Linked DNA regions of Diceros bicornis minor. The protein of the gene in region 2 interacts with the protein of the main gene of each other region in a biochemical or structural test. Links are inferred from orthologs where the notes say so. Each region holds a gene or a part of one and is shown on either strand. Other genes may lie near its edges. The genes, in order: SKAP1 and FYB1.

The links.
Region 1: the proteins of FYB1 (region 2) and SKAP1 form a complex in vitro, tested with the Homo sapiens proteins (2 studies listed by BioGRID and IntAct, with this or other methods). The link is inferred for Diceros bicornis minor from reciprocal best matches to the Homo sapiens genes FYB1 and SKAP1.

Annotation. Positions count from the first base shown.
Region 1 is NC_080757.1:37,531,205-37,535,123, reverse strand, and holds the start of SKAP1 (src kinase-associated phosphoprotein 1), read right to left. Parts: upstream 2,980-3,919; 5' UTR 2,865-2,979; coding exon 2,816-2,864; intron 1-2,815. UniProt on the Homo sapiens protein: Positively regulates T-cell receptor signaling by enhancing the MAP kinase pathway. Required for optimal conjugation between T-cells and antigen-presenting cells by promoting the clustering of integrin ITGAL on the surface of T-cells.
Region 2 is NC_080759.1:30,295,681-30,299,599, reverse strand, and holds the start of FYB1 (FYN-binding protein 1), read right to left. Parts: upstream 2,976-3,919; 5' UTR 2,922-2,975; coding exon 2,919-2,921; intron 1-2,918. UniProt on the Homo sapiens protein: Acts as an adapter protein of the FYN and LCP2 signaling cascades in T-cells. May play a role in linking T-cell signaling to remodeling of the actin cytoskeleton. Modulates the expression of IL2. Involved in platelet activation.

The DNA.
Region 1 (3,919 bases), on a different chromosome or scaffold from region 2:
CAAACAAAAATGAGATATTATATATACTATTGTGCTCCCGGCTTTTTAGTCTTAAAAGTGTTATGGACACTTTCCAAGCCAAGAAACACAGATCCATCACATCTTTCTTAATGGCGGCAAAGTATTCCAGAAGATGGATAATCATTCAGACCATCACCCCACCTTTCTCAACTCATGGACATTTAGGATGGAGCCTTGTACATATACTTCATGTCCCTTAATTTCAGTAACACAGATTCCTAGAAATGGGGTTTCTGGGTCAAATGAGACATTTTTAAATGTTTAAAAATTTATCCTTAAATAAAATTAATTTTAGACCTTCAGAATTTCTGTTCCTTTCTTCATTATGCAAAATATTGGCATAAACCTTTCACAATGCTTTGCATATTTTATTTTTAAAAGCACACACATTATGTCAAAAAATGCCCCTGTCAGTTATGCTTGTAGTTATAAATTAAAAAATGCTTAAGTTATGGCTGTGATGGCCAGCGTTAAATCACTGTGCAAATGCTCGTGCCTTAGTTTATGAAAGTAGTAATTCATTGTGGAAACTCCACCCCCACGGCCATGTGGCAGCACTAAAGAGGCAGCTCTCTCACCCTGTGACTCCCTCCACTGAGTGACAATATAGAGATCAGGACCTACATATTTTCTAATTGTCAACAGTTAACCTTAAAAAGTGTGTGGGGGAGGAGACAAGTAAACAGCAACAGACAATAAACTGATAGTCATTATGGGTTTCTAATATCCACAAATTATTTGCAGTACAATGAATAATTCTGCTGGTCTACACCACAGACTGTATTCCATAAAAAACAAAACCTATAACCAATATGTTGCTATGATTACATGAACCTTTCAAAAACATATTCTTCAAACACTTTTCAATAGAATTATTGGTCGAATCCCCTCTTTACATTTTTTCCTCTGCTTCAGATTCACTCTAATCGCAAACTTTAAGAAAAGGCCTTAAAGAAATACATTAACCAACCAACAAAGCTCATGAAAATTTAATCTCAGACTCCTCTATATATTCTAAAGACCCAAGAACCTACAGACATTGTTAAGACACAGCAAGTTTGATACAGAAGTATGTGACATGCAATTAATCTCCATTCATACCCTGCTCCACTTGTCAGCAAACAAAGGTTCTGCTTTAGAAGGAGATCTGAAGACTTCAATTAAAAACAGTCAGCTAACAAGAAAATAATCTAAGCTAAAGGAAGGTGGCAGGTGCAGAAATGAGTTGTTTACCAAAGTGTCAGTTTTGAACAATAAAGAACTGCACATCAAAAATGATGAAGGAGTGGATTTCATTGCAAGCCTCTGGAAAGAAAAAGGAATTTTCTACCAAGGCTGCACACAAAACGGTAGTATAGTTTAACAAGCTTGTAAAATAGGTTTCCTCTCATCAAATGACAGATACCAATAAAAAGAATCACGTTATATCTTTAAATGCAAGGGCAGAATTACACTTTTTGCCAGTTCCTTCTCTTCTGGAAACCAGACACTTACAGCCTCTCTTTACATATCAAATATTGAACCAATAGCAGAAGGAAAAGTTGGATTGCTTCTTCCTAGACACCCAGATGATGCTCTTTTACCCCGTAAATACTTTTCTCCTCTGGAAGTTTAGATTTACTCAGGTCATAAGTAAAATGGATTTTGGAAACTTCACCTCAAAAGAAATACCTAGTTGACAGCTTTTACATAGAAGCAATCCAGAATGGAAACAGTGCTACAAACAGAGACCAAAAGGACTTGCCAAATATTTGATTAGGAGGCATTTATACCAAGATAACAAGGTAATGGAGATATAAAACCAATTAAATTGAGAGAAACTGAAAAAAATATTGCTTGCCAAAAGTATGACCTGCCCAAAGCAGGCCATCTGTTAAATATGTGTCAAAAATGTCACTTAGATGCCAAAAGGCTTAACTCTGAGCAGCTTCCTCCGGGGACCCTTATGCAAGCACAGATTCCAAGTCTCTGTCCTTCCCAGAAGGTCAGTTACAGGAAAGCAAGTTACTTTCACCAGAAAAAGTGTGAACCGAGCAGACGATATTGCCCATTAGCTAGAAGTCTCTTTGGAGTGTCAGAAGAATGTGTGGATTGTCAGTGAGCATGGCCTTAACTCTTAAAAGGAGTGCTTAGGCACTGTAGTTTGAAGGTGAACACACCACAGTGGGGCACTTCTAGAAAAGTAAGAAATGTAGTACTGAGTATCAGCCTGCCCTGGGTGGATAACAAGACCCTAGAAGTCTTCCGGCTGGTGACACAGGCGTGGGGTGTCGGCGCTGACAACTCACAACTACCCCCAGGCCTTGGCCCACAGGATGCCATGAGCCCCTCGCAGCCCCTCGAGAGCCTCAGGGAGCTCTAAGCAGAAGGTGAGGGTCTTCCGTGAGAGGTGGCGGGGTCAGGGCTAGGGAGGGCGGCGGGTGAAAACCCCCAGACCTAGGGGGAGTCCGGAGGAGAAAGGGACAGGCTGAAGACAGCAAGGTGGCAGAGAGGACCAGGAACCTGTCCTGGACTTGTTCAGAAGCCAGGGAGGTTAAGTGGAACGCCTTGAGGGAAAAGAAAGCGTGGAACTGAGCGGAGTGAAAGGGCCCCTGAGGCGGGAGGATGAAAGCCTGGCTTTGCAGGGTAGAAGACTCTAGAAGCCTTGAGGTTCTAGAAGTTGGTGAGTGATGGAGCTGAAAAGACAGCCCGGCCTCGGGAGCCCCTGGCGTCTCCTTTCCTCCCTTCGGCTCAGCACTTGGGGGAGCAACCGGACGGTCGGGGAGGGGGCCTGGCCCCCGGGCAGGGGCGTTACCTTGCATGAGCCAACAGATCTCCTCCGGGAGGACGGCGGCGGCCTGCATTTGGCGGGGCGGTGGGGAGGCCGAAGTGGGAGGCGGGAGGGGGCCGTGAAGGCCCGGTGCCGAGGTCGGCGGGCGGGCAGGCGGCGGGTTGCCGGCGGAGGCACCTGTACCTCTGTCGCCGCCGCCGCGGGGCCGAGCCGCAGGGCGGGGCCGGGCACCCGGGCGCGCTCAGGAAGTGGCGCGCGCGGCGGGCGGGGGGCGCCCGGGGCGTGGGGGCCACCTGTGCGCGCGCCACTCGCGCCGGTGCACTGAGGGGGGGCGCCGCATCATGCAGGGCCAAAGCTGTGTCCCTCCAGGACCCGCCCACCAAAACAAAAGACTTCACGCGACTCAAAGGGACCTCGTCTCTTGGAGACTTCCCATCCGAAGCACTGGACGTCGGCCTCAAGGGGCAGGTTTAAAAGCCACCGTGGTGCACTAAATGGGGCGCGAGGAGGCAGAATCCGAGGAAGAGATTAGTGCCTGCCCAGCGTTGCAGCACTCAATTCCCAGTCCAGTTCGCACGTCCACGCCCAGAAAACCAGGGTAGAACGTTCGCTATCTCAGGCAAACCACGATGTTTAAAGGGAATGACCTTAAATCTCCATAAGTAATGTAAACCCACCAATTCTGGGAGAATCAGAGCTGCATGGCTGCAGTGGACACGGGAAGCCCAAGTGTCCCGTCCTCCCTAAGGCTGAGAGGATGTGAGGACAGGAAGGGGTAACCTGGGGAGAAAGCTCAGGGAGAGGGGAACGGAGCCCTTTCCCCCTCAGAGCTGACAAAGAGAGGAAAGTCAAGGGCAAGATCACAGAAAAGACCTCCCCCTCTCATTCAGGGGACAGCAGGGCTCAGTGTCGTGGTTGTGCTATGGTGCTGCAATACTGCGAGATGTTACCACTAGGGGAAACTGGGTCAAGGATAGACAGGATCGCTCTGTATCATTTCTCATAACTTCTGTGAGTCCACAATGATCTCAAAATAAAGAGTTTACTTTTTAAAAAAATACAATAGGCCAAGTGCCACGAAAAAGGAGTAAGGTGCAGTGGGCAATAAAATGAGGGAGGTGAATATAA
Region 2 (3,919 bases):
TCATTTAGTCCCTCTTTCTGAACCCTGGGGTAGAGAACTTCAAAGCCAGGAACTCCTCCAGCCTCCCATCCCAGTGGCTTCTAGAAGATTTCAATAAAGTGAGCATTCTAAAAATAGGACAATTCATAGTGGCAGTAGCAGAAGCAGCTACGCAGCTGATTCCCAAATCCAACAGGGACGGGCACCAGCCTGAGGAAAGGCCCCTCGTACTCCTAAAAGCCAGGCCTGGGCTTTTCTTGGACTACGCTGTTGTCTTCCTCTGTACCTACTTTTTCTCAGATGCAGCATAAGGTAGAAAAGTTCAGGCTCTGAGATCAGACAGAGTTGTGCTCAAATTCCAGTCCCAATATTTAATAGTTGTGTGACTGTGAGCAAGTGACTTAACCGTTTCCAAGACTCAGTGTACTCAGCGAGAAAATAGGAATAAGAGCAGTCACGATTCGTAAGGGTTGTTATGGGGACTAAACGAGACAGTGTATGTCAGGGCTCACAAATGTTAACTGCCATTATCATTCTCCTCCTGTGTTCACTGGAAGTCTCTATGCCTCCTTAGGAAATTATTTTTTGAGGACTAGAACGACGGACACCAATATTTATCCAGTATCCGGTTGGTGCCTGCACTATAGTAGGTACTTTATAATTGCAATCTTATTTACCCTCTACAACGACACTGTTCCACAGTAACTATCAGCATCATCATCATGTCACCACTATTGGATAAGGAAACAAACTCAGAGCTTAAGGGACTTGTGAAAAAAACATACAACTGGTAAGCAAAGCCTAAGGAGCCAGGCACATGGCCTTTTGACTGTGCTATGAAGCCTTTCAAGGAGAAAACACCTTTCTTAATATGCTACATGCCTTTCACAACCTGTCATAGAAATGTCAGAAGCAATGCTGGGGAGAGAAAAATTAAGGGAAATCTGCTTCCTCTTTAAGTATAACTTGGACATGCTACAAAGATAAGCATGTATATACATAATTGCAACTGGGAAATTCACTTACCATGCCACTATATAGTAAGTAAACTTGAAATATATTGTTTAACAAGAGGATATCTGTGTTTAAAATCTTAAATAGATGTATTTTTCACTTAGCTCTTCTCCTAGTAGTTCTGTCAATGGAAAATAATCAGGCACTGTATATAAAAGAACGCTTGTGACAGTCTTGTCGTAGTACCATACAGAAAGAAAAATAAAATATGAAACCTAAATGTCTAACTATATGGAACTGATTAAATTAAATTATGGAAAAACTACATAGTCATTAAGAATGACTTATCATTAGAAATGATATCTAACTCATATATTATTCAAAATGTTTTACATAAAAAATCAGATAAGGAAATGGTTTATAAAGTATGATAGCACTTATAGAAAATTATATTTATAAAATATACTTAAAAATGATGAAATTCTAGAAGGATCTGTATTAACAATGATTGCCCCCTAGGTGATGGAACTATAGAAAATGTGTATTGTTTTGTTTCTGCATATCTATATTTTTAAGAAATTTTCTTTAATAATATGTGCTAGTTTTATAACAAGATGACGAGCTCTTAAGAAAACATTGCTTACGTATTACCAAACATACCCTATTCAGTTAAACTTTTTTTTTCTGCTATGATCATCTCATTTTCCTTAAGAAAATCCAAATAACTCTTTGTAAACCACAGTGCCCTTGTTTACTTTTGAAGATGATATCAGTAATTAAGGTCAAGCTGTTTGCTAAGAATTCTGGACCTAAAGACCCAGTTTGGAGACACTAGAGGGACTTGTAAGTCCCACCTTAACAGATGGCTGCCTTCCTCTTACAGATGTGGCTACAGGAAGGGTCATGTGCTACAATTTCCTCCACCACTGTGCATTCCTCTCCCCTGTGACTCTGCAACTCTGACCCCATCTCTCCCCCTTCTCCCTCTCTCCCCCATGGCAAGGTTATCCTCACCTCTACACTTTCCCCATTCTGGTTTAAGAGCTTCCAGACTACAAACACATCCCATGAATCCTTTGCCCTCTCGATTCCACTGTCTGCAACACACACCCTCCCCCACTGAGTCCCTGTAGGAGTCATTGTCTCAATGCTATCTTCTCACTGGGAACTGGCAAAGGAAGTAATCCTCTCTACAAGGAGAGAAAGGATAACCCGTCTCCAGTCTTCTAGGGGCTGGGGAGTGGGGGAGGGAGTGTGGGAGATAAAAGTTGGCTCTCTTCTAGACTCTGGGAGCATAAGAACACTGCATGTAGAAGAACACAGCCAGTTTCTACAGAGAAAGAATATGAAATTGTGTAGCAGAATATTAACACTGTAGTTCAGCTACATTATGAGTTAAGCTAGTTTTTATGGGAACTGGGAAACCAGTCACTATTTTAAGTGTGCTCCAGATAATGACTTTCAATTAACTTTGGGAACACAACCCGTCCTTAAGGTTTGGACTATTTGGGCTTTGTTTGCTTCTCTTAATTAAAATAATGAAATGAATTTTTTAAACAAAAGAGCTCCTTTGTAAAATGTACTGTGTTGTCAAAATGGCTCTCATCATCAGCAATACTGCCCCACGTATATCACTGGAGTTCTCTTCTGGGATCCAAAGTGCTCGGAACAGGAAACTTGACTGCTGGTTCTGGCATCCAGTTATCTCAAGAGGCAAAGACAAAGAATACAACTTTTCTTTCTCTAAGGCATAGCTCTTCCTCAGTTCTGAAGGCTTCGAACAAAAAAGGGAACTCCTGAAGCCATAGTCTTGCAACTGCTGTGATAGACTCAGCAGCTTCATTAGCAAATGGAACAATGGGAAGAAGAAAAATTCCAAACGCTGGGAGGACCTGGCAGTGTAGCACCCCCCACCCCTCTCTGCTCCGTGTAGAGAAGGTTAGATGTTTGCCAGACCAGGGAAAGTCATAAAATCTATTACTTACCATTTTTTTTGAAAAGAGTTGATATGCCTGGCACACAGCGACCTCGAAGATGCTGTAACTCGGACAGTGAATGTGCAAGTTAGTTTTGCAGAGCGTACTTCCTTTTTTGAACTGTGTGGTCTGTCCAGCTTTCACACATTGATATGTAAGGATTATTTGCATATTATCTCAGCCCGCAGAGCATTTGTATACCTGGCCAGGTTTATCCAGTTATCACACTTTAATCATATGAGAACAGGTACAGGTGATGCTTTGAAGTCTGCAAGATTAACACAATTTTTTAAAAAGTGCCTGGATATTAAATTCTATGTGCGTTATTAACCTGTTTTCTACAAAATCGGTATTTGTGGACCTATCTTCTATCTATCTATCTATCTATCTATCTATCTATCTATGAATGAAGGACCCATTCTAAAATGTTAACAGTGGTTGACTTGGATGGAGATATTATTACAAATAATTCTTGTTTTGTACTTTGCTGACTTTTTGACTTTTCTATTTTAAGTACATAGTACTTGTTAAAAACATCACTATAATCTTAAAATGAACAGAAGGATCATGATAATTTTAATCAACAATTCCAAATGTATTTAAATCTATCTCATCAACATTTAAATAGTGGCAATATTCATAAGCTTATGATAGGATGTCATTCACTTCATTGAAAATATAAAGTACATGTCAATTAACTTTTTGGTAATATTTGTTAGCATCAGATGCCTCAGTCTCTCACATTGATGAAGGAGATATTAAGGGCATGGTATTTGATCCCCAGTAGTCAGATTTCACACCAATCATCCGTAGTACCTCTTTGAACATATTCTGGTACACGGAATTATCTCCTTTATTTTGAATATATGGCCTGATACTAAAGTAATTTCAAGGGCAGAAAATCATCTTTCTTTCCTATTGCAAAGGAAAGGCAACTGATTCCTTATTTTGGGGTTGCAAATTTCTAGATCTTGTAAGGACTACTGCCTTTACCTAGTAGAGGGGCACCA